Linked DNA regions of Diceros bicornis minor. The protein of the gene in region 2 interacts with the protein of the main gene of each other region in a pairwise test. Links are inferred from orthologs where the notes say so. Each region holds a gene or a part of one and is shown on either strand. Other genes may lie near its edges.

Evidence for each region.
Region 1: the proteins of DMRTB1 (region 2) and QKI interact in a two-hybrid assay, tested with the Homo sapiens proteins (2 studies listed by BioGRID). The link is inferred for Diceros bicornis minor from reciprocal best matches to the Homo sapiens genes DMRTB1 and QKI.
Region 3: the proteins of DMRTB1 (region 2) and PKP2 interact in a two-hybrid assay, tested with the Homo sapiens proteins (2 studies listed by BioGRID). The link is inferred for Diceros bicornis minor from reciprocal best matches to the Homo sapiens genes DMRTB1 and PKP2.
Region 4: the proteins of DMRTB1 (region 2) and VASP interact in a two-hybrid assay, tested with the Homo sapiens proteins (2 studies listed by BioGRID and IntAct). The two-hybrid records come from large-scale screens. The link is inferred for Diceros bicornis minor from reciprocal best matches to the Homo sapiens genes DMRTB1 and VASP.

Annotation. Positions count from the first base shown.
Region 1 is NC_080778.1:7,347,809-7,354,901, forward strand, and holds the start of QKI (KH domain-containing RNA-binding protein QKI), read right to left. Parts: upstream 3,014-7,093; 5' UTR 2,519-3,013; coding exon 2,377-2,518; intron 1-2,376. UniProt on the Homo sapiens protein: RNA reader protein, which recognizes and binds specific RNAs, thereby regulating RNA metabolic processes, such as pre-mRNA splicing, circular RNA (circRNA) formation, mRNA export, mRNA stability and/or translation.
Region 2 is NC_080752.1:15,754,286-15,762,277, reverse strand, and holds the start of DMRTB1 (doublesex- and mab-3-related transcription factor B1), read right to left. Parts: upstream 3,007-7,992; 5' UTR 2,786-3,006; coding exon 1,969-2,785; intron 411-1,968; coding exon 205-410; intron 1-204.
Region 3 is NC_080756.1:31,062,558-31,069,588, forward strand, and holds the start of PKP2 (plakophilin-2), read left to right. Parts: upstream 1-4,012; 5' UTR 4,013-4,059; coding exon 4,060-4,282; intron 4,283-7,031. UniProt on the Homo sapiens protein: A component of desmosome cell-cell junctions which are required for positive regulation of cellular adhesion.
Region 4 is NC_080773.1:19,738,713-19,745,852, reverse strand, and holds the start of VASP (vasodilator-stimulated phosphoprotein), read right to left. Parts: upstream 3,010-7,140; 5' UTR 2,288-3,009; coding exon 2,283-2,287; intron 1-2,282. Other genes in the region: PPM1N (probable protein phosphatase 1N), read right to left, coding at 5,763-5,831, 6,987-7,047, 7,131-7,140. UniProt on the Homo sapiens protein: Ena/VASP proteins are actin-associated proteins involved in a range of processes dependent on cytoskeleton remodeling and cell polarity such as axon guidance, lamellipodial and filopodial dynamics, platelet activation and cell migration.

The DNA.
Region 1 (7,093 bases), on a different chromosome or scaffold from region 2:
TCCTAGCTACCATACAGAAGCAACCTTTACCACAGGGAGTTGAAAAGGCTACAACTCAAGACAGACTAAGACAAGAGATGGAATGAAGCATATTAAAAGGAAAAAAAATATTATTTAGAATGTTTCATCCTCAACTAGTGGTCTCCAACATTTAAAACTCAAGTGGTTACTATTTCAATCAGAGAGAAATGAACAAACTTTTGTTAGAGACAATGACATAATCGGAATTCTAGATTTAGAAAATTAAAAATTTTTGAAGCCAAAGGTTAGAAACTTTTTAACAGAGAACTCCAAATTATCATTTAGAGATTTTAGATAACATAAAAGCACAACTGAGAAGCCTTTTAGAATTAATCAGAAAAACTCAAATTATTTACTTTCTTAAATAGTATGCATAAGATGAAAATATTTCCAAACTTTTTTTATTATCGCCTATGCTGTTTGATTGAACTCGACATTTTAATTCAAACTTCTTCAACTTTAACCCTAAGTATTGTCAAGGCCTATTTTCATTTTAATGTCTATAAAGAATTCCTTGTAAACAACGGTACTTAAGAAAAAAGTGCTTAGAAATTTTTACTAGTACTACTAAAATTTTAACTTCACCAAAACATGCCAAGGGAAAATAATATCATATTTTTGAAACGTGGTAAAATTGTTCCAATAACTTTAAACAAAGTATTTTCAGCGTTTGTAAATACATATATGGACACAAAATGACAGATAAAATAATATACTATCATTTAAATTTCAACTAAATTTAATGTAGGTCAGATTATTGAGTATGTTACACATCTTGCTCCAAACATTTCTCATGTTTAAAAAAAAAATAACTGGCGCCCCTTAGCGCTCACATTTGGAAACACTCAATTTAAGAGTTCCAGCAGATTTTTTTTTTGACATTCCAGAAAGTTTTCTGCCTCCACAACCTTTCAAAAGCCAACACAAATAGGAAAAGTAGAACCCCTTAAAGAGACAGCTCAACTTTTCTCTGGAGCAATTCGAAATTAACACACTTGCTGTTTCAACAGTGTTGAAAAAGCCCATTGCAATATGGATCACTGCTGTATGTGTAACACATGTATGCAAAAACGACAACGCAGTTAATACCTAACTTTTGTACTTTTAAAGTTGTTTCTATGACTTTCTTGACAACAAAAGCTCCCGGGAGTCTTCTTTAACCATCTTTTATCTCGGAGACATTTCCGGTCTTTTGTTCCTTAGTGCCATTCCAACTCTCTAAGCTTCAGATTCCTTTTCCCCAGCTCTACTGTAAAAATCGGGAAATTCTCGTGAAAAGCCTAAAATCCGTTGTTCACCTCTATAAAAATACAGTTTCCAGTTTTCTTTAAACAGTCCTCCGCTGATGCTTCTAAACCGAAAAAAGAAACTCCTTGCTTCTCGATTTGCAAAACAGATTTTTTGGTTGGTCATCTTATTCCCTAGGCGTCCACAGAAAGGCACAGCTACCAAATATTAATGCTCCAAGTCGCCGCTGCACGAACTCGCAGAAAAATTCCAGAGTTAGCCAAAATTAATCTTCTTGTCACTCTTCGCTCCCCACCGACAAAGCTTTTGGGCAAACTTCTGCTCGTTTTTCTTTTCGCCCTTTCAGACCTCTTGATTTCCTGTCCTGCAAACTCAGGCAGCGGCGTGCCGGGGAGCAGGCTCTCCGCCGGAGTTCTCTCCAACTCGGGATTACGTCTACATTCATCCTCGCGGTATTTCGCGCTCGCCCCCACCCCCACCCCAAAAGTGAAGTTCAACTCCCCAACACTTCTCGCTTCCCCAAACAAAAGGACCGAAAGTGCTTTCCGCTGTCATTTGGGGCTCCATCAGCGTTACTTTCGGGCGCCCGCGGCATTCCTTTACATTCACGAGGCCCGCGCTACTCCCCTCGAGTGTTTACACGCCACACAAACTCCAACAAACCACAGCCCCGCGGGAGCTCCGCTCGGGGACCCGCCGGCGTCCTCCGGGAGGCCCCAGGAGCGGCTCGGGCCGGTGTCCTTCAGGCGCCCGCGGGCCGGCGAGGCCGGGCTCCTCCCCGGGAGGCCCGCGGAGCTCGGGGCCGTCGGGAGCCCACTGCCGCGGCCGGGCGCCGGGGGCGCGGGACGGGGCTTGCGGCCGCCCCCACACACCCGCGGGGCGCGCGGTCCCGATCCGAGGGCCCCCCCGCGCCGCCGAGCCCGACCGGCCCGCGAGCCCGGCCTCGGCGCCGCCTCCGTGCACCCCCGCCCGGGCCTCCCGCTCGCGGGCGCACGGCCCCGCCAGCCGCGACCTCCCTGCCCTCCCCGCCGGCCGGCGGGCGTCGGGTCCCGGGGAGAGCGGCCGCCGCCAGGGCGCGGGCCGCCAGGGGCCGGCGCGGCGACTCACCTTCGTCCAGCAGCCGCTCGAGGTGGTTGAAGATCCCGCAGAAGTTGGGCAGGCTGCTCATGAGCTTCTTGTCGTTCATCAGCTGCATCAGGTAATCCGGGGTGGGCTTCGGCTTCTCCTTCGTTTCCATTTCCCCGACCATATTCCAGGCTCCGCAGCTCACTCCGCCCGCCGCCGCCGCCGCCGCCGGAGAGGAGGGAGGGAGGGGCGGGGAGCCCCGGCCGCCGGCCGCTCGGAACTCGGCGTCCCGCTCCGCTCCGCTCCCGCGCCGGGCGCCGGGGCGGCCGGACCGCGCGCTCGCCGCGCTCTCCCCGCCCCCGCAGGCACTTTCGGCCCGCGGCCCGACGCGCTCCCGGCCCGCCGCCGCCGCCGCCGCTCCTGGCCGCCGGCTCGGCGCGTCCCTCACGAGGCCGGCGGGCGGGAGGCGGGTCTCCGCGGGCCGAGTGCGGGCGCGGGCCGCTCGGCGCCGGACGAGGAGGAGCCGGGCCGCCGCCGCCGCCGCTCGCTCGGCTGGTCGCGCCCGCTCAGCCGCCGCCTCTGCCGCGGGCTCGGGGTCTCTCTGGGCTGGTCCCCGCCGCGGCCGCCTCTGCCGCTGCCGCCGCGCTCTGACTCCGCTCCTCCTCTTCCTCCTCCTCCTCGCCGCCTCCTCCTCCTCCTCACTCACTTGGCGGCGGAGTTCGCCTCAGTTCAGGCGGCGCTGCCAGCGGCGGCGGCGGCGGCGGCGCGGGGGGAGGGGCGGCGCGGGGAGGGCCGGGGGCGGGCGCCGGGCGGGGCCGCGCAGGGCGGCCGTTAGCGGGGCCCGGCCGGCGCGCTCCTCCTCCCGCCGCCGCCCCCCGCGGCCCCGGGTCCGGGCGCCGCAGCCGCCGCTGCCGCGCCGTCTCCCTCCGGCGGGGTGGGCGGCCTGAGGGGCCGGTGGCGGGCGGCGTGACGGAGGCGGCGCTCGGCGAGCCGGGCCTGGGCGCCGGGCCGGGGTCGCCGCCCCGGGCGGGCGAGAGCGGAGGGAGGGGTCGGTGCGGGGCCGCCGGCTGGGGGAGGGTCGCGGGCGGCCGTGCTTTGGACTGGGGCGGGGGCTGGGGCCGCCTCGCGTTGCTCGCCAGCAGGCGGCTCGTCTGGCGGGCGCGGTCGGGCGGCGCGTTAGGTGAGAGGGATTTCCAGCGGGACGCGCCAGGGCCGCGCTCGCCGCCCCCCGGCCCCCTCCTCGCCTCCCGTTACTATAGTTTTTGAAAACCCTCTGATCCGCCACCCCCCAAAAGAGGATTTTTTTTTAACGTCCTGTTGCTTCACGGGGGACTTTCGGGGTGGGCGTCACGTGGCCCGACACGTAGCCGTAAGGTTCGAGAGCGCGTGCGCGCGTCGAGGCCGGCATCCACGCCCCTTCCGAGGGTCGCCCCGCCCCCGCCCAGCCCTGCCAGCGAGGGGGAGGGGCGGGGTCTGCCGCGCGCCTGCGTGGGGAGGGGGCGGGGTCGGGGAGGGGGCGTGCCCAGGGGATGCGGAGGGGGAGGGGGAGGGGGTGGCTGGGCCACGGGACCCGGAGCGGCGGGTCTGGGAAGCAGCCGGGTCTTCGCTGCCTGGCTCCGGGTCCGCCTCCAGAGGACGCGTTGGCGGTGGGCTTTGACTACCGCTGCGAAGCTGATGGGAACGCACTAACACCCCGTGTTCTCGCGGTCCCCTCTGGCTTCGGGAGCCACGCGGCGGGAAGGAGCCTGAGAAGCAGCGGGCCCCGCGTAGGCGCCCCTCGTCGCCCCGACGGCGTCGCTCTGCCGGTGCAGGACCTGTGCGAGCAGCGGGCGCGCCTCTGGGGACAGGCTGTGCTTTGTCGCGGCGTTCCGTTATTCCGGGAGCCAGCGACAGCCAGGACTGAGCGTCGCGGTGTACGGAATAACGAGGGGACGCGATGCTGTTGGCGATCTTGCGCTTCGTGGTGACATGGGTGTTCAGTAATAAAATGCAGCCACAATAAACAAGTGAAATAAAGAGCATGTACTGTACCTAGTTCGGAAAACGAAAGTCAACATTCGTATTTACAAACTTGCAAAAATAATCATACAGCGGGCAAGAGATTTTCCAAGCAGCATGATGGGGGGATTTCAAATATTTAGGTTTGTTTGGGGAAGAATTTTCTGAACTGCAACAATGTAGTTCTCTGCTTTATAGAACGTTGTCAGTCACTAAATCTGTATCTGCATTTTATTGCAAGCTCTTTATGACGTGTTCAATTAACATGGACAAAATTATTCAAAATCGGCCTGACGATTGTGCGAGTTACACTGGCTGAAGTATCTGTCGTGTCTACTGTGTTTTAACTGTGAAGAACTTAACTGGGATTTTTGGTAAAATTTTGCTTCGCACCAATTCTGAGGAACACTTTTGAGTTGTATTGAAACTACGGGTTTCAAACAAATACTCTTTGAGTGGCAAGTAGCTTCTGGCCTGTTCTTTTGAAGAACGTAGAATGAGTTTGTTTTTAAAAGTAAGCTACTTTGATGGAGGAAATGGAGTTGCCTTAGGTAGACAAAGTTAAAAACATGTAACTCGCAAATATTCTAAGTTCTCCATCATCCACAGCTGTTAATAGGGCCACGGAATATTCACCTTCTTAATTATCTATTTAGAGGATGAATTTTATAAGTGCAAGGAATACTAATTTGATCAAAAAAATTGTTGTCTCTTTAAAACTAATGTAAGGTATGCTGCTTCAGTACCTAGGAAAATGATAGGTGGTTTTAAAAGGTTTTGGTACCAAGTTATTCATTTGATTTGCTAGTTGTAAAAGATTCGATCCCCTCTCTTAATCGGTTCACTTGTTCATTAAGCTCCCAGGCCTGTGCTAAATGCTTTATATTGTAATCTCATTTAATCTTCAGTTCAACCTTGTGGCTCATATTGGCCAAGGCCTTATTTTACACAAGGGGAAACCCAAGGAGAAGGAGGTTAAGTAACTTCCCAAGACTATATAGCTCATGAGTCCTGGGTCCAGGATTCAAATCCACTTTTATTTTATTCTAAAACCCGTGTTCTTTGCCCTTTTACTAATCCTATCCAATAAGTCAGGTTGAAACTTCTAACGATGTTCGACCATTTTCAACCCATAGAATCTACAATTTCATATGGCTCACTCGGTTCTTATAATCTAAATGAGCCAGATCAGAGTTAAAGAACAGTGGTAAGCAATATTCACTTCCGACCTATTAAATCCCTTATGGTTACAGCATTTGATCATAGCTGATATGTATTGCCTTTCCAAATATGCATACTACATCAGTTCTCTTATTGCAGTTCTTCAGTGGTTCCCCCACCCCCACCCCGGCCCCGCGGAATGAACCCAAAGACAGGTACCAAGGCCTCTGAGATCTCACAAGCTCTGGCCCCCTGCTGCCTCGCTGATGTTGTGTCCTCACTTCCCCTAGTGTGCTGAGCTCTACCCCCTGGAATCCCTCCTGATCCTTAAACAGGCCAAGCATGCTTTCTACTCCAGGACTTTGCCCTCGGTGTTCCCTCTCCTTGCAAGCTTTTCCCACATCTGCACGCCTGCTTGCACCCTTTCCCAGGTCTTATCAGAGAAGGCTTCCTTTACCACCTTTATAAAATATCACATGTGTGTACACACACACGCACACACACATACTCTGTTAGTCTCTCTGCTTACCACCCTTTTAATTTTTTTCATAACATTTGTTTCCCCCTGACATGTTCTATCTATGGGTAAATTTGGCTGTCACCTCCCCCTACTGTAAGCTTCATGAGAGCAAGGACTTTATTTTGTTCTATTTTGAACTCCCAACCGGTAGAACAGCACATGTGCATATAGGCACTTATTAAAAATATGTTCAGAAAAAGAAAAATATGTTCAGAAAAAGTATTAAGTACTTGTTATGCTTCAGGAATTGTGTAGAACCTTCACCTACAATATTTCTTTTAATCCACACGGCAGACATTTGAGGTAGGCATGAATAGCCAGATTTCAGAGGAGAGATGGCTGATGCTTAAGAATAGTGAGAAGCTGGTCCCACAGAGGGCAGAACTGGGTCCAACAGGGTGATACCTCTCATTGAGACAAGCGCCCTGTCTGCAGGTGTCCACGGTATCCCTCCCCTTTCTCGCTCACCCTCCTGCCTCAAGGCATTTTAGGTATATATTACACCATTAATTACCCGACATGTGACAAGTGCAATGAGGAATACAAAAATTCTTGGGATATATCACTTGCCATCAAAAAGCTTAAAACTGTAAAAATTAATGTGGAAGGACTCTTTAGTCACGTTATTACAAAAATATCATCTTAATACAAGTTACAACATACAAGAATATATGTATAGGTGAGCTTCCAGTTGAAAGTCCTTATAATAACTTTTCTTACTCTGAAAAATTATGTCATCTAATATGTTGACACTAGAAATGGTTCTACATTTAACATCAGTAATTAACCACGAGTGGAAATGTATTTTCTGTTCTCTTAAATTTGATTGGCTGTATCTGCTTATTGCTATTCTTGACATTTAAAATAGAAAATTACAGTATTCCAAACTTTTTTCATCACCATGGAGTTCTTGCAGGAATGTTTCTTAGACTTAAGAATCACTCTTAATCTTGATGGCTTTTTGTCCCATGTGTTCTTTTGAAAAATCTTAATCTTTACATTTTCCTAAACGGGAATAGGGCTTTCCCAGTATCTTTGTAAAGTGAATGTTTGTTGTCTTAAAAGACTTGAGTATCCTTT
Region 2 (7,992 bases):
GTCTACATGTGAATGGACTCGTGTACATGTGTGCACTCCCAGAGGCGCACACCGCACAAGGTCAATGTTGTATCCCTCCTTCCAGTGCTCAAGGCTTGGCACCGAGTGGGCACACAAGTGGCTTCCTGGGATTAAAGATCCATAAAAGCAGCAAGGGCAGTGGGATAAGGAGGAACCTGGAAAGGAGTCAGGGAAGGGACTCACCAAGCCCCCTCCATGGTAGTGGCTGCAGGACACATGCCGGAAGCCCTGCTGCAGGGGGATCCCTGGGGCTGGGGTGGCGTCCTGGAAGCCCAGTGGGAACGGGCGGTACGAGTGCACGCTGGAGCAGCTGGGGTACAGCTTGGAAGGCTCTCTCGCCAGGTACTCAGACCCCACCACACAATCCGAGTTGATGCTCAGAGAGCGCCCTGAGAAGGTAAGCAGTGAGGAAGTGTTGAGAACACAAAGAGCTAGGAAAAGGAGCATCACATCACTGTCCAAAGGTGAAAGTATAATAAACTCTCACTTCCATTTACAAAGAACTCCCACAGCCACTAGGCTTTTAACACTCCCTGTTTTTTAAACCCTTCAACCACGTCCCACTGCTCTTAGAAAAGTCCTCGGCACAGCCGTGAAGCCCCAAGTGCTGGTTCCTGCCTCCACTCCAGCCTCCTCGCTTACTGTAACCTAGTAGCTTCTTTCTCACCCACATCAAGCCCTTTGCAGATGCTGTTCCCTTGGCTTGGAAGGCTTCCTCCCCTAACCCCACTTTGCCTACTTAAGCCTTCAGGACTCAGTGCCTAGTCTTCCTTCAGACCACAGCTAAACCATCAGTTATAAGAGCTCTATCCACTGATTTGTGTGATTCTTTGATCAGTGCTGTCTCTCCCACAAGGACAAGATCCCTGAGGGCAAGGAATGTGACTTTTCCCCCTCACCTGTTCCTCACTGGCGTTTGGCACATAATTAAGTGCTCAGTCTTTGTTCGTTGAGAGATGGAACAAAGAAAGGCACTGTGTCATGGAAAGGTACCCTTCTCCTAGGATTGCTGTTTCAGGTCTGTCTTCCCCACCTAGTTCCCTGGGGGCCTAGATTTTCCTAGAATGTCCCAGAAAGCAGAAATGGCCTTCAGAGGGCATCCAGAGGGAGAGACTGACACAGAAGTAAGGTGCTTGCCTAAGGTGACAGAGTGAGCAGGCCCCAGCCTCCTGACTCAGACTTGTGCTCTTTCTACCACACTGCCATAGGGAAAACCAAGAAAACACATGTCTTATACTCAAAAAGAGCCGTTGCTTAAAACTCAAATCTACATGTGATTTGAAATTATACTTTAATAGTGAAAGCAGCAAGACATAAGGAACAACGTAATTTATGCACGTGGTGGGAGAGGACAGAAAAGAGACAACACCTCAATGGACCAACTGCTGTCCTCCAGCAGGGGGCAGAGAAGGGGCCTCATTCCCACCCATGCCGAGGGAAAAGGCGGGAAGGGATGCGCAAGCTCATTGGGCCAGGGCACGGGTGAGGGGAGGGGCCTCCAGAACGCAGACAGGGAGAGAAGGGTGCGCAGGCGCAGTCATAGTTGAAAAAGCACCACCGCAGGACCGTCCTGGGGGAGGCGCCTCCAGCTCAACAAAAAGGCGGGAAGAGGTGCACAAGCGCAGTAGGGCCAGCCTCCCCCGCGGAGGAGGAGCCACGGCTAAGCGGACTAGAGGCCATGTTTTTCTTGCAAGATGGAAAGTCAAAAACTGTAGCTAAATGTTAAAAGCCCTCTGGACCACCCACTCCTTTCTGTCGCTCTTTTTACATTTTTGCAAAAAGGCACTCAACCCAAATCCGTATTCAGAGAAAGGTTTCGGAGAGCGAGCCTAGGTCTGGGTAGCGTTTTCCCCGCCCCCACCCCCACCCCCAGGGCCCACCCTGCGGGACCGGGCGGCCTGGGACGCCAGCGTGGGGAGCAAGGCCGCGCGGGCCCGGGCATCTTACCGAAGTCGGCGAAGGGCGGGCTGGGCACGGGTCGGAGCGGCCTGCGCAGCTCCGGGCGGCCGGGGTAGCCCCTGCCTGCGGCCTCCGCCCCGAGCTGAGGCCCCCCGGGACCGGGCATGGCCGCGGCGGCGCGTTCGCTCGGCCCCACGTGGCCGCGGCCGCCCAGGACTGGCTGGAAGGCGCTCGGGCCGGGGCTCGGGCCCCGCGGGGGTCTCCCGGGGACGGAGGCGGTCGCGCGGCCCTTGGGGCCCGGCCCCGCGTCTCTTGACGCGGCGAGCAGGGGCAGCGGGCGGAGGCTTGCGCCGGGGGCGGCGGCCGCGGCCCCGGAGGCCAGCTCGGGCCTCTCCTGCTCCTCCTCGGAGGCCTGCTTCTTGAGCACCTTCTGCGCGGCCATGATCTTCTGGCGTTCGGTGATCAGGTAGCACTTCTCGCAGGTGCACTGCTTCCAGCGGCACTTGCCCGCGTGCCCCTTGACGGGCACAAGGAAGCCATGGTTCCGGCACCGCGAGCACTTGGGGGTGCGCAGCATCTTGTCGGCCAGCTTGGCAAGGTCTGCCTTCATAGTACAACCGCCACCTCTGGGAGCTGCAGAGCGAGTGGAGCGGGGATGAGCCGCGCCCCACAAGTCCCTGGTGCTGGGGACGTTGGATACACTTGTAACAAAGCGGCTCTCAGTACGTTCCAGGAACTGCAGCAAGACCTTTGCATTTTCCCACCTCTTTTGGGGTGCAAAATTTGCAGAGGTTCTGTGCCTTGGTTGGGTGCAAGGGATTGGGTTGAGTAAGTTGTTCAAGGAATGCCATTGCATGAATGTCATCTGAGTTGTCTGAAGTCTTAGGCATTTAATTTCCCAAACTTTCTATTCCCGCCACCCCGGAGACAGAAAGTATTTTGTAACTTCAAAAAAGGCGGAGTGATATTCAACGGTCTACAGATTTAAAGCTCCAGACGAACGTAGCTCTCAGTAAACCCATTCCAGTATAAAAGCATCCTAAGCGGCAAACTGCTTCTCCTTCCAAGAACTGCTGCTTCTGCTGAATTTCATTTCTCTCCCCTGCAGAGAAGCAGCCATTCGCAGTTGATGCTTCCAGAATATTCTCAGGAGCTGAGTACAGTGTGATAGTTGCTTAAGGATGTGCCCGTTTAGAAATTCCCATTGCTTAACAGTCTTGTTGGTATAGGAATGCATTTCTAGAAGATGGCCTATTGCTGTTGTTGATGCCTTCCAAAATAAAGCATACTTACAATGCTTTAATGTAAAATAAGACGTAGGATATTTTAGCATGAGCTTGAATTATTGATTAAGTTTGCAATGAATTTAGTCATCCCTGTAAAGCAACCCAAATCTTGAGACACCTGAAAAGCTGGCCAAAACTTCATAGTCTACCAAGGCCACTAAATTAACTCATTTTCTTGTTTGATAGAAATTTGTGACACCCTGAGGTCTTTTTCCTTTTTTCTTTTTTTTAGGTCCAAAAAAAAGGAAAAAATGAGCCACTCACACCTAAGTTGAAAGCTAATAATCATAGAATCGGGAGGTAGTTATGGTTACCACCTGGCTAAAACATGTGCATATTAAATGGCCCTGTCTCTGAAATTCTCTCTCTGTGATAGCAGAATGCTAGAAGTGGAGGCCTGGGGTCCTTGATTTTCCTGAGCCTCTGGTTGCAACTGAACTTTGCATTTCTCACCAGCTGCCTAAGAATAGGAAATGGTTGCCATTCTGAGGCTGATTAGATGCTGGAAAGCTGACAAGAGATTTGTAAAGCCTTTTTCTGCTTTAAAGAAATATATTCATCATCTTAATAAGAGGGCAAAAGTATATGCTTCCTGTATTATTTGGCCCTTCAGGAATTTCACTGGTAATTTTACATCCATTTAAAGAGATCTAGGATTGTCTCTGCTTTGCTCTAATGAAACCGGCAAACAGTTAGCCATTGATGATTAAGCAGCTGATAACTATGGGGGATTGGAATTGGCCACTTCAAAATATGTCTCTGCCTGAAAGACACTTTGGCCCCCACCCCCACTAACTGACCAAAGCAGTTTGGGATGGGAGGCCTGCCCCCAGAACAGGCCATTACCGTAGACATCTCCGGTTATCTGGGAGGGTCCTTGCTAAGCCCATTCTTAGTTCTAGTTACCCTTTTTAAGATACATTTACATTTGTAAAGGAAATCTCCATCTGTAAAGCTGTCTTCTTCCCTGTACCAGGAAGAAGGGGGGGATGGCCTTACCTAGAAACTTATCAGAACAGAAGGCAAGGCCAGGACTTAAATCTGCATGATAAACTTACCCATTGTTAACTGTGCTGTTTAGGCAATATGCTAACCGACTCCCACTAGGTTCCTATAGATGACATCTCCCTGGAGCCTGGGTCACCATGGTAATGGGTGTTTGAGCTATTTTTTTTTTCAGGAATTGGAACCCCTTGTCCACTTCAGGCCGGTTGAGACCACCAACCCATCAACTGGGCCCATGCAGACATGTGTCTGATAAGCGACCTTTTGACGTTGGGAGGTTAAAGCCCCACCCTCAGGGCAAGCTGACGCCACCATTCTGTGAACATGCCTCCTACGAAGAGGCATGAAGCCTGACTACGCTTGCGCAGATCATCAATTACCTCATCTCTCCTCACCTCCAATCATTTCAGACCACCTTGCCCCTACCCCATAAATAGCCCTGAGTCCCTGTTTTCAGGGAAGCAGATTTGAGATCCATTCTCCTGTTTCCTAACTTGGCAGCCTTGTTGTTATTAAACCCTCTCTCTCTCTGCAATCTCATCATCTCAGTGTTTGGCTTTCTGAGTGGCTGGCAAAAACGGACCTGGTGCAGTAACACTAACGCCCTCTATCTTAACTTTTGATTTAAAAAATATGGTCCCACAGATAAAAGGAGAGGCAAGCTCTTTTTCTGACCCCACCCAATTCAAAATGTCTAATTTTTTCACTGATCTTGTCATTTGAAAATAGTACTTATAAATCATAGTTTCAATACTACTGTCAAAAAATCTGGGGCATAAAGCTGTATTGTTTCATGATACTGCAAATTGTAAGATCGTTTCTGCATTATCATATTTAAATTTTAACATCAGATGACATGGGACGATAAGGCCTAAAAAAGAAAACTAATGTCATTTACATTTCTTGCTTGACCACTCAAGCTCTCTTCATTTTCCTATTAATTATTTAAAGAAAAATCCTATTCAGAGGCAACTATTTGAATTAACATATTTTAGCCTTGTTAACTACAAAATGCTGCCATATTTACTTCCTAGCTTTAGGGGCCAAATATACCCAAGGTGATGTGAATTTGCATAGTGCTTTGAGAACATTAATAAACAACCATGTATCTTTTTAATCAGTAGTCACATTATAAGATGCAGAAACCCCAGAGTTTATACAGTAAACAAATCTAAGAAAAAAAAAGACTAGGTAATTTCTCTCTTCCCCCCAAAGTCTCAATTTGTGTAGGTAAATTCCAACAGAGCTTTATTTATTTCACTCTTGGAAATTCAGGCAAATTGGTAGTTTTGTTTTATTTAGGTTGATGACTGATTACTTCAGGGGCTGCTGCTTTTTTTTTTGTTTTAACATACATTTCTTTAAATTGTTATTTTAGAAGATGGTAATGTCTTAGAAGTGAAAACTAGAAGTCAAAAAAAGGATGGGAGCAGGGAAGGACCCCTTCCGTCCCCACACCTAAACCTTAGGATATTTATGTTTAAGAAAGTCTGCATCATCATAAGCAATGGTTTATAAAATAACAAGTTATCGTTGCAGGAATCACCAGTTTGACTAATTAACCACAAAGGGGCTGGTTGGCGGTCATATTTGACTTCCAGCGTCAGATATGGCCCTTTTTCCCTCAGAATCCCAAGTTTCCTATCTTGAATAATGCCTCTTCCTTCAGTTAATATGATTGCTATTTGTACTGTTTAATTCATATTCATTTTAAAGAGCCTTGTATTATGCAGTGCACAGGGGTATCATTTATAATCATTAAATATTGTATCATGCATTGTACTGTTTCCTTGCTGGGAACACACAAGAGTAAGGAAGGGCTTTTTCGCCTATGGCATCTTTCCCCCAGCAGCTATAACCCAGATATCTGCTATCTTCCCCTTCTTCAATCTCTCTCTAGTGAGCAATGAAAACTTTATTGAAGATTTTGTAGGGGATGGAGGGGAGGATTTACATGACTATCCTATAGCAGATGCTTTAAAATCCTGCCTTAGCGTTTCTATTCTCTCAAGAGCTTCCTCTGCCATGCCACACCCACTGGGGAGAAATGGTTTGTTCATGCCCCCCGCAACAGTACCCGACCTTCCTAGCTTCTCTCTCCTCTCTTTATTTTTTGAGAGCTCTGTAACAGCTGTGTCTATCTTATTTTCCATTATGTCCAGAACAAAATAGACATTCAGTCACTATTTGTTGAATGTACAAATGAACCTTGCCTCCTTCTTCTGCCAGTGTCAAGGTTACCTCCTCTCTAACTGGCAAGGTAAGTCAACTTGGCTTCAGCAACTTTGCCTGAACATCAAACAAAACAGACCCCAGAGTGAACAGGACCTCTCTCTTGACAAGCAGAATTTGGGGATCAACTTTGGTTCCTTGAGCTAACCTCCCACCCCTAATAGTTTAGTAATAGTGATAATAATAGCTGGCACTTACCAAGTGTTTATATGTGCCAGTAGTTCTTAAGTCCTTTATGTGTATTAATTCATATCATCCTCACAACAACTCTCTAAGGTAGGGACTGTTATTTTCACCCCCATTTTACACAGGAGGCCTAGAGAAGGTAAGTAACTTCCCAAGGTTTTCCAGCCATTAAGTAGCAGAGCCATGATTCAAAACCAGGAACTCTAGCCTCAAAGTCCATGTTCTTAACCAAATATCTGCTAACTCGATATTTCTTCTAAACACTGTGTTCTCCCCAAGAAAACTTTGGTGATGAATAGAAATGTTTGTCTTTATTACATACCCATTACAGTTGGGGCTATAAGGGAGCAAAATTTGCCACCCCAAAGTGTGTTTCTTGGGCATGAGGATTATTTTAGGCTGATTATTTTTAAGAAACAGAAGACTCAGGAAGTTTTTCTTTTCACCTCCCCCTTAACTGCCTAAAGAATTTAGATAGGGGGCCTGTTCCAGGAAGGTGAGCTATCACCAGAGACACCTGCAAAGAATATGAGCCAAGTGTGGTAGATGGGGGGAGCTTAGCAAGGCCTGTTTGTTCACATTTCTCTCTATCCCATTGTCTCTGCATGGTATGGCAAACATTTGTTTACCAAACATTTGTTCTTCCCATCTCCCTGTGAACTGTCTTCCTCCTCTTTGAAGTCCCAGACCCCATCTCCTTCTCCTTAGCTCAAAGTAGCATATAAGCCTCAATTGCCTGACTGTTTTGGGGCCTCATATTCTTATGAAGCCCCCATACGTACTCAAATTAAATGTAATCAAATTAAATTTTCTCCTGTTAAACTGTCTCATATCAATTTAATTCTTAGACCAGCCAGAAGAACCTAGAAGGGTAAAGGAAAAATTTTTCCTCCCCGATAGGGCAAAAGGGGGTGAAGGTGGTAGCAACATGGGGAAACGTCCCAGGATACCCTGCTTAGTTGCTTTCCTCCACCCACAGCTGACATTTATTGAATGCCAACTATGTGCTAAGCATTAGGGACACAGAAGTCAATAAAAAGACAGGATCCTTACCTTTAGGCGTACATTCTAGCTGGAAAACCAGACAGTAAAAAAATAATTCCAGATGAAAGCCAGGGAGTGAGTGGGGAGACCCAGGATGCTACAGGAACCCCTCTGAAGGTCCTAATCTGGATCGACGAATCAAGGAAGACTTCCTTGAAGGGCTGATTTGTAAGCTGAGGCCTAAAGGATGAGTAGGAATTAGCCAGGTACAAGAGCCGGAGAGGTGTGTCCCAGACACAGGCCTGCAGTGTGGCTGTAGTTCAGTGAGGTCAGGAGACTGAGAGAGTGGTGGTGTAGAGATTAAGCAGTAGCCAGGCCA
Region 3 (7,031 bases), on a different chromosome or scaffold from region 2:
TAACGATAAACTGATACTGATTGCCTTGGCAACATATCCATTTGCTGAAAAAGGAAATAAAACCCATGGTTCATTTAAAACTTTCTATCTGCCAGGTTTCTTACAGTAATTTAGGAAATACTTTTTAAAAGCAATAGATATTAATAGCCTACAAATAGTAACAGGAAAATATTTCATGAGAGAAGATACTCATGAAAATGTGTTAGAGTATTTTTTAATATGAATCAGAGAGTTTTGGTGCCATTAATGTTCTTTAATGTTCCCTATTAAAATATTTTTTCTGAGGGCCAGCCCCATGGCCTAGTGGTTAAGTTTGGTGAGCTCCACTGTGGCGGCCGGGGTTTGGTTGTCAGGTGCAGACCCACACCACTTATTGGTGGCCATGCTGTGGTGGCGACTCTCATACAAAATAAAGGAAGACTGGCACAGATGTTAGCTCAGGGCAAATGTTTCTCAGCAAAAAAAAGAGAAAAAAATATTACTTTTGCTCTAAAATTTATACTATATTTAGTCTTACAGTAACTTCCTGACTCTTTGCATACTGGAATTTCCCATATTGGAATTTATATATGGTTAAAGAAAATAAAGTTTACTCTGAGGAAGCCCTAACTGTAGATTTACAAACAATAAAAGATCAGTGTTTTAAGGCTGTAGTGCGTAAAGCAGATAAAAATGCAAGTTTAAAACTCAAGAATTTTTTAATCATTCTTGTAGGTTTCCACCAGCAGGAACTGTAGCCTCATCATTCACTTATCTGTTATTTACATTCTACCTCAACTTTGGTTCCTCTGCTTTTGCTTTTCTTTTCTTTTATCAGATTCTGTTGGTAAATGAAAAGAAATGGAAGAGTTTTCAAAACTGAACCTAAATACTAAAAAATCACAGATTGTAGAACAGCCAAACACCACAAAAGGAGTCATAGCATTTCATTTCCATGCTTCAATTTGTTGGCTAGAAGCTGCCTTCAGCAGTTATCTCAGGTCTGGCTCACAATTTAGGAAGTCGGCTAGGCAGCCTTCCCGGGAAACGCAAAAAACATGACAGAGCCCGCACTCTGTTGGAACAGAAGCACATCTAGACTACGTTTGGGGGCACAATGCCAGAGTTTGCATATTTCCTTACCCTGTAATTAACTCTTGCTTTTGAAATAGGATTCTCACTCCAAGGGGATCCTTTTAATGAGTTTATACATTTATCTTATTTTCGAAGAGATTGTTCTACTGAATCATTGAATTCTGAAAGTATTCAAAAATTATCTCAGTTTAGTTTGTTGTTTATAACAGGGAATATTACATAGCCAATTAGTAGAATACCTAGAATATATAGTGATATCTACGGGACTTTTTAAAGATGCTAACAAGTTACCAAAAGAGTTCGAAAGCCTAAAGAATTATTAGACTAACAGTTGTTGAGCACTCATTATACACCATGTAATATACTAAGTGCTTTCATGCATGATTCATTCATTCATTCAACATGGACCTGTTGTCTACTATGCGCACTGTTCTAGGTCCCAGAGAACAGCAGTGAACAAAAAAAATCCTTGCTTTCATGGAGTTTACGTTCCAGTAGGGAAACAATCAACAATTAAATAAGTAAAACAGAAAGCATGTGTAATGAAAATAAGTGCTATGGAGACAAATTAAGCAGAGAATGGAGATAGTGAGTGACTGTGTGTGTGTGTGTGTGTGTGTGTGTGTGTGTGTGTGAAAGAATCTCATTCAAATGGTAAATTGATAGATAAGCAGAGATCAGAAAGAGTTGAGGAAATCTGGAAGTGGATCTCAGGGGGATGCTTGTTAAAGAGCACTGAACAATTATTTATTGAGTATTTCTTATGAACCACTTATCATTTAATCCTCACAGCAGCACTTCATCATCATTGTAAAATGCTTCCATTTTACAGGTAAGAGAATTGAGGCTTAAAAATGCAAAGAAACTTGCTTAAGGCCACACTATGTACAAAGGGCAAGCTACGATTTGAACCCAGATCTGCCTCACTCACAAGCTGTGCTTTTAACCATCGTCCTCCTGTCAATTCACCAACTGCCCAATAACGAAATTTCTACATGCTCAATATTGGTACCTACCTAAGAAGATAGTCAATTACAACATCACACTTAGAAAAAAATCCATTTGAGAAGAAAAAAGTGAATGAAGTTTGGCTCAATCAAATAAATAAATGAGAAAAATTCCTCTCCACTCTGCTGGTGAGGGTTCTGATCTTGTAAGTTACAGCTCTCCAGGCACAAAAAAGGAGATGCCCCACCTGACCCTGTGGGGGCAGGTACTGAAATTGTCTTTCAAAGCAACACTCTCAGGCCTGCCAAAAGAGGCCACCAGGAGGGGGAGAGGAAGAAGAAGGGGAGAGGAATAGTGTTTGTTGTTGGAAATCGCTATCATCACTTCCCCGTCAGTTCACCCCTCTCTTTTCAACTGAGTCTCAGCATGAGGTTTGGAGGTTTACATCTGGCTACATAATTGAGCTCTTCACAAGGTATAATCTATCTCAAGACTGGTCCTGCTGGGATGGGAGGAACTGCTTTCAAGACCCACCATCCCCATGACTCCACTTAAGCACTAAATTCCACAAGGCCTTAGCCATGTGGTGGCTGAGAAAGGGTGGCAGAGCTGTCACCATTCCGTTGTCAAGGCTTTGGGCCCCTTGATTTTCTCTTTGCTCCCTTGGAGAGTCGTATACCTGTGCATTAAGTGTGTGTGTAAAGACAGAAGGGTGTGCATAGGAAAATGGGGAAGGGGGAAACTTTCTCGGCCACTCCAGACCTGAATAAGTGTGGTTTTGCAGCAATTGAGTGATTTGAGGAAAAGTGAACATACTAACCCAAGCAATCAAAGGGAAGATTATCTTACTTAATACCAGGAGTAGATGTTTTTCTTTTTGCGTGTCAAGTCCAAAGAGGAAAATCAGGACGAGTGGCTTAGGTTGTAAACCTTAAGATCAAGGACACTTTCCCTTGAGCTTAGCTCTCAAGTTCTCAGTAGTCAACTACTCGTGAAACATAATTAATAGCACGATAAATATAAGTTGTGGAAGATGCAATTGAAAGTCAGAGGCCCCTTCCATGGGCCCCCTACAAAGAGCCTATCATAAAGAGGACTTAACGTTAGCAGGGCTAATAAAAACTATCAGCTATTAAAAGTGTGCTCTTCCCTAGCACCTCTTATTGGAGTTTGTCTGTGTGGGTGTGTTCGTAAGAGAGGAGTGGGTGAGCAAGAGTGTACTGGGTACGATTTGTGTATCTGCATGAGAAAACAGAAGCTCTGGATGAGGAAGAACATATGTTTCTGGGACTGCATCTGTGCAAAAAGAACACGGCCCCTGAAGTTGTACTAATTTAAAAAATAAACTATATTAAAAAGTCTTTTATTTCACACATGTCATCTCGGCACATTTCTCTCCTATCGTCCTTTCCGCCTGACCCAATAGTCCTTTCTCACCCTCAGGTCTAGGAAAACCATGTAATGTTTCCAACAGTCTGACAGAGCCTGCCTAACCAGCTTCACTCGGGGACCCCAGAGGCAAACCTCAGCAGCCCAAGAACAGAAGTGACTCTCCAGGGCGCACCTGCCTGGAGGCGGCCCCTCCGCAATCAGGCATAAATCACATCCTTTCCGAGGGCTGGGAGGAGGCCGAGCAAGGCAAATAGAGCCAGGCACGGCGCTAGCAGGCGGCATCCGTGGCGACTCGGAGAGTGGCGCGACCTCGGGCAGACCGCGCCCTCTCCCACCTCCCAGCCGGCAGGTCCAACTAGCCAGGTGTCGGCGCGCGCGGCCCGCCCCGCCCCGCCCCGCCCCGCCCCGCTCCGGGCCGAGTGCGCGTGCCCGGAGGGAGCCGCGCCCCCTCCCCCGGGGGAGGCTGGGCGCTCGGCTCTCGAGGCCGCGCTCCCCCCGGCTCGGGCCTCCCACCGGCGCGGGGGGCGGGGCAGGGGGCGGGGCAGGGGCGGCGGGGCGGGGCTCGCGCCAGTGCCCCCTGCTCCTCTGCAGCTTCGTCTGCAGGTCTCGCGGCAGGCTAGCTGCTCGGTCGCCTCCTCCGGCCCCATGGCAGCCCCGGGCTCCCCAACCGAATGCGGCTACATCCGGACAGTCCTGGGCCAGCAGATCCTGGGGCAGCTGGACAGCTCCAGCTTGGCCCTGCCCTCCGAGGCCAAGCTGAAGCTGGCGGGGAGCAGCGGCCGCAGCGGCCAGGCGGCCAAGAGCCTGCGGATCCAGGAGCAGGTGCAGCAGACCCTGGCCCGGAAGGGCCGCGGCTTCGTGGGCAACGGTGAGTGGAGCCCCGCCGGCCCCTGGACGGCCGCGACCCTACCCCCTACCCCTTTCCCTATCCCTCCCACACCTTTAGCACCCTGTTGCTTCCACTCGCTGCTTCCTGAGGGTGCGGGACCTGGGGTTCTGCCCACCTGTTGCTCGCCGTCCCTTTGTATGACCCGTCGCGCCCCAAGACTCAGACCGGCTTACTTGGGCAAAGCACTCTTTTCTAAAATAATCTCTTACTCAGTTTTGTCATATATGTATCTACGTATATTAAATGCACGTATATGTCTATGTGAAAGAATTCAGTCCAAGATTTTTCACCCCTTCCTTAACCAGCTCCCCCTGCGCGCCCCCCCCCGGGGCCTTAATCTGGAGGCTCCCGAAGTCTATAAACACTTTGAAATTCTATGCAGAAATTTGGTATGATCATTTTTCTGGGAGAAAGTGCCCCTAGCTTTTATTAGATTTTTTTTTAAAGAGTCTATGACCCCCGGAAATATTTTGAAAAGAAAACCTGAAAGTTCTGGCGCTCCTACAACCTGTAAATTGGGGTTGCGGTGCCTCGCCCAGGTACTTTGGGGCGCTCCACCCAGGGTGCGGAGCGAGTGCTTGATCTAGGAAGTGAAAAAATTGGGTAGAAGGCTTTGGGCCAGGGAACAACCACCCCACGCGCGGAGGAGGAGGAGGAGGAAGAGGACTTTGTCCCCGCCAGCGGCAGCCCGGTCCGCCTCCCTGCGCCCTGGCGACACCCTCGTGGGCACAGCCCTAGTCTCTCCAAAAAATTAAACTTGGAGTTGAAAGGGGTTAAAAAAAAAATAAAACACTATATTAGTAATTGATAGTCGGGGGAGGTGGAAGAAGATGGCAAACCAGCTGTGAAAATTAGAGAACATGATATATCATTTTCTCTCCTGTTAATAGTCAGAGGATCAGAGCCACACAATAACTCTTTTATTAGTTGTTTAATTTATGTTTTTCATTATAAAAGTATTATAGGCCTATTATAGAAAAGACAAAAGGAAAGAAATTGAACCATTAATTCAGTTGGGATATCAGTTTGTTTGCCCGCAATGTTGACCTGTTTCTCTGGGAAGTCACTTGGGCAATGGCAAATGCAGAACCCACTAGGAAAAAGAAAAATGCTTGCAGACCAGACCAGAGATTTAAAACAGCAGACCCTGGGAGGCTGTATTGTTTTCAATTTGTGTAAAAAAAATCCTAAAGAATCAGGCAGTCAGTGTTTACATAGTTGAAAGGCAGAAGATGTTAATGATTATAGTTAATGTAACTGAGTGCCTACTATGTGCTAAGAATTGGACTGTGTGGTTTACATTCACTATATTATTTGTGTTTCAAAAAAAAAATTTATGAGGTAGGTGTTTTAATCCCCATTATACAGATGAGGAAACTAAGTGGTTAAGTAACACTCAAGTTCCCACAGATAGTAAATGGCAGAACTGGCATTTAAACTACTAAGCCGGAATTTTTAAACCACTGATCAGTTATATTGTTAAACTTTCGGGTTATGAATACAAATTGGGATTTTTATTAGACCCTAAGCCTCTCTATGACCCCTCCCATTTTCCTCTAAATAAAATTGAGGTAGTCCTGAGAGAGTGGGGCGGTCTGAATAGCACAGAACTGCCACAGTACGTGGAAAAAAAGAACCTAAATTTACATGTGGAAGTCAGACTAAAGACTCCAGGATAACTGAGGTCAATTTTTGACCAGTAGAGTCATTGCACTCCATTAGTGTGCGCAGGTCCAGTGCTAAACTGGAACCAGAGTAGCTTCTGCTGCTTGGAGGACATAAGGGGGATACATATTAGATCTTCTTTCTTATGCTATGAGAATGGCTAGTCAGAAAGAGCAATGAGACATCAACTATTCAATAAATGGGGGGAATGAACAGAAGGAAGGGGAGTATTGCTGAGCGTCTCCTATGTGCCTAACCCTGTTCAAGAATATGTTTGCGTTTCATTATATCCTTAAAACGATTATATAAGGTAGATAGGAGGATCCATTTCACCTAAGAAGAATGTGTCAGTCTCTCAACATTAATTGGATGCTTAGTCCCAAACCCACACATGATCTCTTTTCTATCACGTGGTGAATTCATGTTGCTTGGTGAATTCAAGAACTATCAAATGAGTCTGTTCTTCACGTGGAGGTGCTGAATTAAACATAGACTCTGCTTGCTTTAAAACAAGGAGTTTAAAGTCTGAAGAAGGAAATCTCCCCCTAAAAAATGAGATATCAAGTTAAAAATGGTAACCAACCCAAAAGAACAGGTAACACATTATGGAGTTTAGAAGTATGAGTTAGACTACCAGCTGAAGGGAATTTTGAAAAGCTTCTTGGAGGAACTGAGATTTTAAACCATAAAAGTTCAATAGGATTGGACATAGGGAGATGGTTGGAGGAAGAGCATGCTAGGAGGGAACAGCAGGAATATTTCATCGTCGGCAGAATTGATACAGTAGAACAAAGGACATTGTCCTGGTGCTTCTGCTCTAATGCTCAGGGCAACTGCTTGAGTGGCTCTTCCAACTAAGGAACAAAGCGTTTGAAATATTTTTGATTACAGCAGGAGCTTCCCAGCAAGCTGAAATACCTCAGCAGCCTACACAGAAGTGCAAGTCAGTCAGAGAGATAAGGCAGCACACAACACCTACTTACTTTAAAGCCTCAGCTTTTTGAAACTCCAAAAAGTAATCGACTTCAAAGGAATTTGACATCAACATGCCATGGAACAATTA
Region 4 (7,140 bases), on a different chromosome or scaffold from region 2:
TACTATTATTGGAAGAGGAAAGAAACGGACCCAAATTCTTCTTGAGTCCCCTCTGCCCCGGGATTCTCAGACCTCTGCCCCGCTTCCTGGCCTTCCCAGAATCCCAGCTCAGATTCCTGGACACAGCATACACTCAACAAATATTTGTCAAACTGGGAGAAAAAGAACTATATTTTGTCATTTTCCATCTTAGCATCCTCTCTTTCAACTGCCCTCAAGACCATCTCCAGTCAAACCAGCCAGAAATCAGAGCATCCTGGTCCCCTCCCCTCCCGCAACACTGCATAGGAATTTCTGAGTGATCTTGGGCCAGGCTTTTCTCTCTCTGAGCCTCAGTTTCCCCAGCTGCCCCCATACAGCGGCATGGGGCGTTCTGAATCCTAGCTGTCTCAGGAGAAGGGGCCAGCCCAGGAAGGCGGGTGTGGCCATCGGCAGGGAAGACCCCACAGGAGGTAGGAGTAACCCTCTGATGGGACAGGCATCAGCAACTTCTGCCACCCCCCAGGAGGTGGGAGGTTCCGCCCGGCCAGCAGTAGGGGGGCCCTGTGGGAGGGCCAGGGCCTCGAGGCTGGAGGGGGGTGGGAGGCCGGCCCAGACATTGCTCCTGCCCTTTTACGGTCTCCGAGTGAGGCAGCCCTCGCTCGGACATCCGCCATCCGCCTTCCACCGCGGTGCCTGGGACCGGAAACGCGGGGAGAGGGGGGCGAGGGGCAGGGCTGGGGGGCAGTGGGAGAGGAGAGTCCCCGGGGAAGAGGGTGAAGGAAGAGGCTCCTGACCACGGCCCCCTCTCCAGGGCAGACCTTGAAGGCATGTTGCTGTATGAGAAAAGGGTAGGCAGGAAGTCTTGAGGGTGTCTGTGGGTGCCCCTTGCTCCCAATTTTCCAACACTTCCTTTCACATCAGAAGGAACAAATGGGGGAAGGGGATTCTCTGACAGTCATAAAAAGGCAGGCCACCTTGATGTCAGATGGCAGGGGTAGGGGGAATGGGGAAGTGGGAGGATGTGGGCACCACGGGGTTAATCCCTATCGGTCTCCAGGGGCCTCCCCCCTCAAGCTGGGGGCTTTGGGGCAGGAAGTCCCTGAGAGAGTGGAGGAAGGGAGATAGTATTGTCAGGCTCAGGCCTCAAGGGAGAGATTATGGGGGGTCAGTGAGAGGGGAGAATGGGGGGGCCTAGTCCGGTCCCCCAGTCCGCACGGGCCCCGCCCTCAGGTGAGCCCAGGACTTTTGAGGGACCCAAGACAAAATCCTTGGGTCCCCCACCCCCAGTGTTCAATTCCTGGGAAGAGAGCTGGAACTATCTGGGAAGCCTGGGTCCCAGGGGGAGAGGGCTATGACCTTGAAGCCTTCCAGCGCCCCTCCTCCAACCCCACAGCTCCGGATGGCTAGGGTGGGGGGGCGGTGGTGAGAGAAGGGGGAGGCGCCGTGGTGGGGAGAGCAGCCGGCCCACAGCGCTCCTTGCCCGCCCCCCAAACACCAGCTGTCTCGACAGGTGAGTCAGGAAGACAAAGGCCCCCATTCCCCCAGCTGCCGCGCCCCTTCCCTCCCCAGGGCCGGGCAGGTGGGGGAGAGGGCCGCCCTGCTGGCCCGTGGCCGGGGCGCCGCCCTCCGCACGGAGCGCTCGCTCAGTCCTAGGCACAGCCCGTCTCAGCAGATCGTGGGTGGGGAGCAGTGGGGGAGGGGGGTCCCACCAGACCCTCCAGGCTGCGTCTGAGTCCCTGGATCCGTCGGCACCAACCTCTTCCAGGAGGACGAGAGCACCCCCAAATTGAGAGGGTTAAGTACCCCCGAAGTTCAGGAGCGAGGTCCCACTTGGGAAGACTTTTCCCAGCACCACGTAAAGGGGCACCCCGCAAACCAAGCTCTACGTCTCAATCTCTCTTCCAGGACCCCCAAACCGGCCCCCTACAATCCCTCCCGGAGCCCGAGTTGAGATTTGGAGGCGAGTCTGAGCCCTGCCTGAACCCTGGCCTCCCAGCGGGGAGTAGCTGCCAACTTGGAGGTCCTCTGAAAAAGTCTTGAAAAAAATCCGAGAGTCCTCGGAGCGCCCCCAAATCCGAGGGCTCCCAGGAGAAGCTCACCGGCACCACCCCGAGCCTGGGGAGTCACGGGGAAGCGGCCAGTATTTGGAGCTCGTCCCAGGGGGCTCGACCTCAGATCCGAGGCTCCCCATGCCCTGTCCCCAAATTCGAGCCCGGAGCAAGCTGGGGGGGAGGGGGACAAAGGCGGGGCGGGGAGCCCGCGCCGGGCGGGGAAGGGGCTGGGGGCAGATCCAGGCTCACCTCATGGCTGCTCGGCGGGCGGGCGGCGCGCCCACGGGCTGGCTGCTCCCGGGGCGCCCCGGGCTTGAGGTTCAGGGGTTCGGGGCTGGCTCCAGGCTCTGCTCAGTCTCCCCCAGGGTCCCGCCCCATAGAGTCCGGCTTCCTGGGGGGAACGTGGGCCGGGGCGGGTCCTCGGGCGCCTCCTCCCTCTGGGGGTGTGATGGGGGGGTCCCTGCGGCAGAAAGGGGGTGCGGCGTCCCCTCCCCGGCGCGCCTCCTCGGCCGGCGGCGGCTACAACGTTACTCTTACTACTGTACTTCTCTTCGCTACATTTCGTTCCAAAATTCCACTCCCCGCACCCACAATGCCCTGCGTCTTAAAGGGGCCGTCGACACCTCCAGGCGGCGGGGTGGGAGGCTGGAGGGCGCTTAAAAGGGCAACGCGGAACCCCAGCCTTCCGCTATTTGCCCCTGCCCCAACACTATTGCATAGGGGTGCACGCTGGGGCTCGCCCCCACATTAGAGGGGGAGCTTGGTGGAGGGGAAGGGATCCTTCCTTGATCTCTCGTTCCCTCCCACCGGGGAAATTCCTAGGAGGATCTCAATGGGGTCACAATTTGTTCTCACCCTCCCCACCTCCCTATCGACTTCTGCATTTCTTTACATTCTGCTCATTTAGCAGGGGGGCAAGGAGGACCCTCTGGTGTAGCATAGTCTCTCCAATTTTCTCCCTTAAATCCTCCCGTCGGACCCCGCCCCCCAAGGTCTCTCATCTCCGCCAATTTAGGAGGGGTTACTCAGGGGTGAGCCCCCTCCCCTGCACAGGTGGGGGATGGGCGAGGAGGGCCCCCTCCCGCTCACTGCCCCCCGCCCGGCCCGGGAAGGTGAGGAGGAAGTGGGCCGAGGGGGCGCGGCCGGCCGCTGACTCACAGCCGCAGGGTGGGGGCGGGAGGGGGTGGGGGCGGTGCTGGACCTGGGTGGGGGTGGGACTCCAGGTCCCCGTGTGGATAAAGCCCCTGGCCCCCTCCCCACGCACGCCCCGCCGTGACTCAGTTTCGCCCGCGGAGCATGGCGGGATCATCCAGCAATGGGAGGGCACCGAGGCGACGAGACCCTCCCTAGTGCCAGCTCCTGGGAGCCCCCTCCCCCACGCGCCGGCTACCCGCTGAGCCCTGACACCCTCCGAGGCTTCCGCAGCGGGTCCCGCAGGCCACGCCCCACGTGACGTCACGCATGTGGTCACACCCCTCCCGTAGAGCGCCACCTGGCCCGCGTAAGGTGCCCTAGCCAGGGGCAGGAGTTTAGGAAATCTTGTTAGACATTTACAAATAGGTAAACTGAGGCCAGGAGAGAGGGAATAAATATGGGCTATAGCCCCCTTGCCTGAGCCCCCAGAACCCCAGTAGCGCTTGAGTGCAAGGTGGGAGTGTAAAACCACCAATTCTCAGGGCCCAGCTACTAAGTGAGGCAATCAAGCTTCCCAGCCTTTGTCCAAGCAGGGTCCTCCGCCCGGATGCCTCTGACCTTTCCCTCATCCTTCTAGACCATGCTCTGACGTTCATTCTTCTCTGAAGAATTGAGTAATCCTGTCCCCTTCTATCCTACTGAGAGATCGTGAATCCTGATCCACCTAGGTTATAATTATTTTTCTGGGTGTCTCCTCAGGCCGTGAGAGGACAAGTCCCTTCTCCTCTCTGGGTCAAAGCTTTCCCACGGGTGAAATGGGAGGGGTGGCGCTTCTGTGTGCCACTTGCCTTGCAGTCAACCAACTTCTTCTATAAAGGTCCAGATAGTAAATATTTTAGGCATGTTATGCATAGGGTCTCTTTTGCCCTTTTTCCCCCCAACCCTTTAAAAATGTAAAAACCATTCTTATATGTACACAAGAAGCCTGATGAAGGATCTTTATGGCAGCAATGAGGTGACAACAAGAAATTGGAAATAGCCTGAATGTCCATCAAGAGGAGGATGGATAGTGAAACCATTGCACATCCCTGTGTGAGGCGCTGGGCAGCAGCTAAAAAGAATGAGGTGTGTAAATGGCAAGAAAGAGGTCTCCAATGTATTATTATTATTTTGTGTGTGTGTGAGGAAGATCAGCCCTGAGCTAACATCCGTGCTAATCCTCCTCTTTTTGCTGAGGAAGACCGGCTCTGAGCTAACATCTATTGCCAATCCTCCTCCTTTTTTTTTTTTCCCCAAAGCCCCAGTAGATAGCTGTATGTCATAGCTGCACAACCTTCTAGTTGCTGTATGTGGGACGCGGCCTCAGCGTGGCCGGAGAAGCGGTGCATCGGTGCGCGCCCGGGATCCGAACCAGGGCCGCCAGTAGCGGAGCACGAGCACTTAACCACTAAGCCACGGGGCCGGCCCTCCAATGTATTATTGAGTGAAAAAAAACAAATTGCCAAATGATACATAGGGTATGAAAAAAATGAAGGAAACACCTTAAGGTACCATATACATGTGTGTACATGCAGAGTAAAAGGTCTGGAAAATTCTACTCCAAACTCACTGCAGTGCTGACCAATAGGATAGGAAATGGAACTGTGGGGAATTCAATGGTCATAAAGATTTCAAGCCTTATCTTGAAAATGCCAAGTTTGAACCTGCTTTTGCACTAGCTGTTCTTTCTGCCTTGGAACACTCTTCCCTGGGGTTTTTGCATGGCTTGCTCCTTCTCTGTCAGGTTTCTGCTCAGTTGTCCCCTCCGCAGAGATCTTCCCTGATCCCCCGTCTAAAGCAACCATCCCCAGGTGGAAAATTGAGTGGTGGAGGGGTGGGGGATGGAGAAAGACTTCTCATTGTACACCATTTGTACCCTTTGAACTTCCAACCAAGTGAACTCATGCCCCATTCAAGAAATAAATGAATAACAATATAAAAAACCAAAGTCACTCCCCTAGTCATTTCCTTATCATGTCCCCGTTTTATTTTGCTTGAGACACTTGTCAGTGACTGAGACGATCTTATTTATCAGCTCCCCTGTTTGCTGTCTCCCCCCACTAAGAGGTGGGCCCCCCGGGGGCAGGAATCTCTGGGTCTGCCTACTTCGTGGCTGTGAGCAAGATGGCGCCCAATACATATTTGCCAAATGACTGGGTGAATAATGTTTGTGGGTTTTTTTCTCTAGGAAAAATATATTTTGAATTATGTAATTAAAAATTTAACAATTAAAACTCTTTCCTACCTCCCCCCAAAAAAACAGATGAAAAATGGAAAGAGAAGAGAAGGTTATTGAACTAGGAGATCTCTCGGAGTCCATCCAGCTCTAAATATTTCAAAAACTTTTGGCTTGGGGTTTTTCTTAAGTCTAGATGGTGAGTGGAATTTCCCCTCCAATAAGACTTTCTGTGAGAGGGAAGTAGGAGATGGGGAAATAAGCATTCTGGGGTTCCTCCATCGGCTTGTCTTCCTTCCACTGGTCCGCGTAGCTAGGGAAGGGGGATTTCTTCCTTAGTTCCATTGAGGCCCCAACTGGGCAGAGGGTCCCCAAAGTTGTCAGGCCTCCAAGTCCAGGGCAGAGCTTGAATGGACGCCGGTGGGCTTCCCAGCCCCATTCTGCCCCTTCTGTAACACAAAATGTGGGAGACGATAGATAGGAACCCCTTCTTGCCTTTCAGTATCTACTCCCCTATATTCTGGAAGTACCACTCCCATTTTCCTTTAAGGGACCACAGTTCCCCATCTCTCAGTCTATCAGGTTTGGGTGGAGTGGACCCCAACCCGAAGGGCTAGGGGTGGGCCTGTGACCCCAGCCTGGCCACTCAGAGCCACAGTGACTGGTCAGCCATGTGACCCAGCGTGGCCAATGAGAACCAGCTCTGAAACCACAGCTGCAACTACTAGGAAACTGTTGCACCCTCTCCACTGGGGATGGTAGGCTCGTGGGACCAGAGCCTGGAGCTGCAACTCTCTGCCCGCTCATGCGGAGACCCTGCCTGGGAACGAAGCCAACTCACAGAAAATAAAACTAAGAGATGGTTCTTGATGACATCATCTGACAACTGGATGAGGTCATGCCTCAAGTCCCTGACCTCTTCAATTACACGGCCCAGTAAATTCCCTGTTGCTTTCCCAGGTTGAATTGGGTTTCTGTCCCTCACATTTCAGACAGTCCTGACACATAACCTCCTTCTGCTGCTGAGAAACTATCAACAATTCCCCCTCCTCCAAGTGGTAATAAATAAACTCTCTCTGCCAGGCCAAGGCCTTCGGGTTGTGGCCCCAGCTTCCTCCCTCCCATTTCCTCCTGACCTCCACCCCCTTAGTTTATGTGGCTCCACCCACCACCTCAATGGACATCTCTAAATTATCCCAGGCTCTCTGGGCCCAATTCACAACCTCTCTTGTCCAAGACCTGGACCACCTCAGAGATGTCCTGGTGGTCCCTACAGCACTTCCAGGCCTTGGGATCGGGTCATCAACATTCCTTGAATTTTTCTGCCTTATTCCTGGATGGAAGGGGTGGTGCTGGGGATGATGGGGGTTCTACAGAGCAAAGCAGGGGGCACATTTCTTGGAGGGAAGCACAATCTCTTCTCCCCTGCTCTGCATCCCCCCCATCATGTCTAGCACAATGCTTCAGGGCCACGAGTGAGAATTTATTTATATATCAGGCAAGTCCCTTGTCCCCTCTGGCCTCAATTTCCCCATCACTAAAGGGGGGTGCGGGGCTGGTTTACATGCGGCTGAGAGAAACATTCAAGAACACAGGGTCCTCACCTCCCAGCGCTCTCCTGAGGCCTGGCAGAGCTGAGAATAGGCTTCAGCGATGACGGAGGCCCTGGAAAGCAGAGGGAGACCCTGAGGAGGGGACCCTCCTCCTCCCACCCCTCCCCCATTCCATCCCACCCTACCCCAACTCACTTGCAATAGA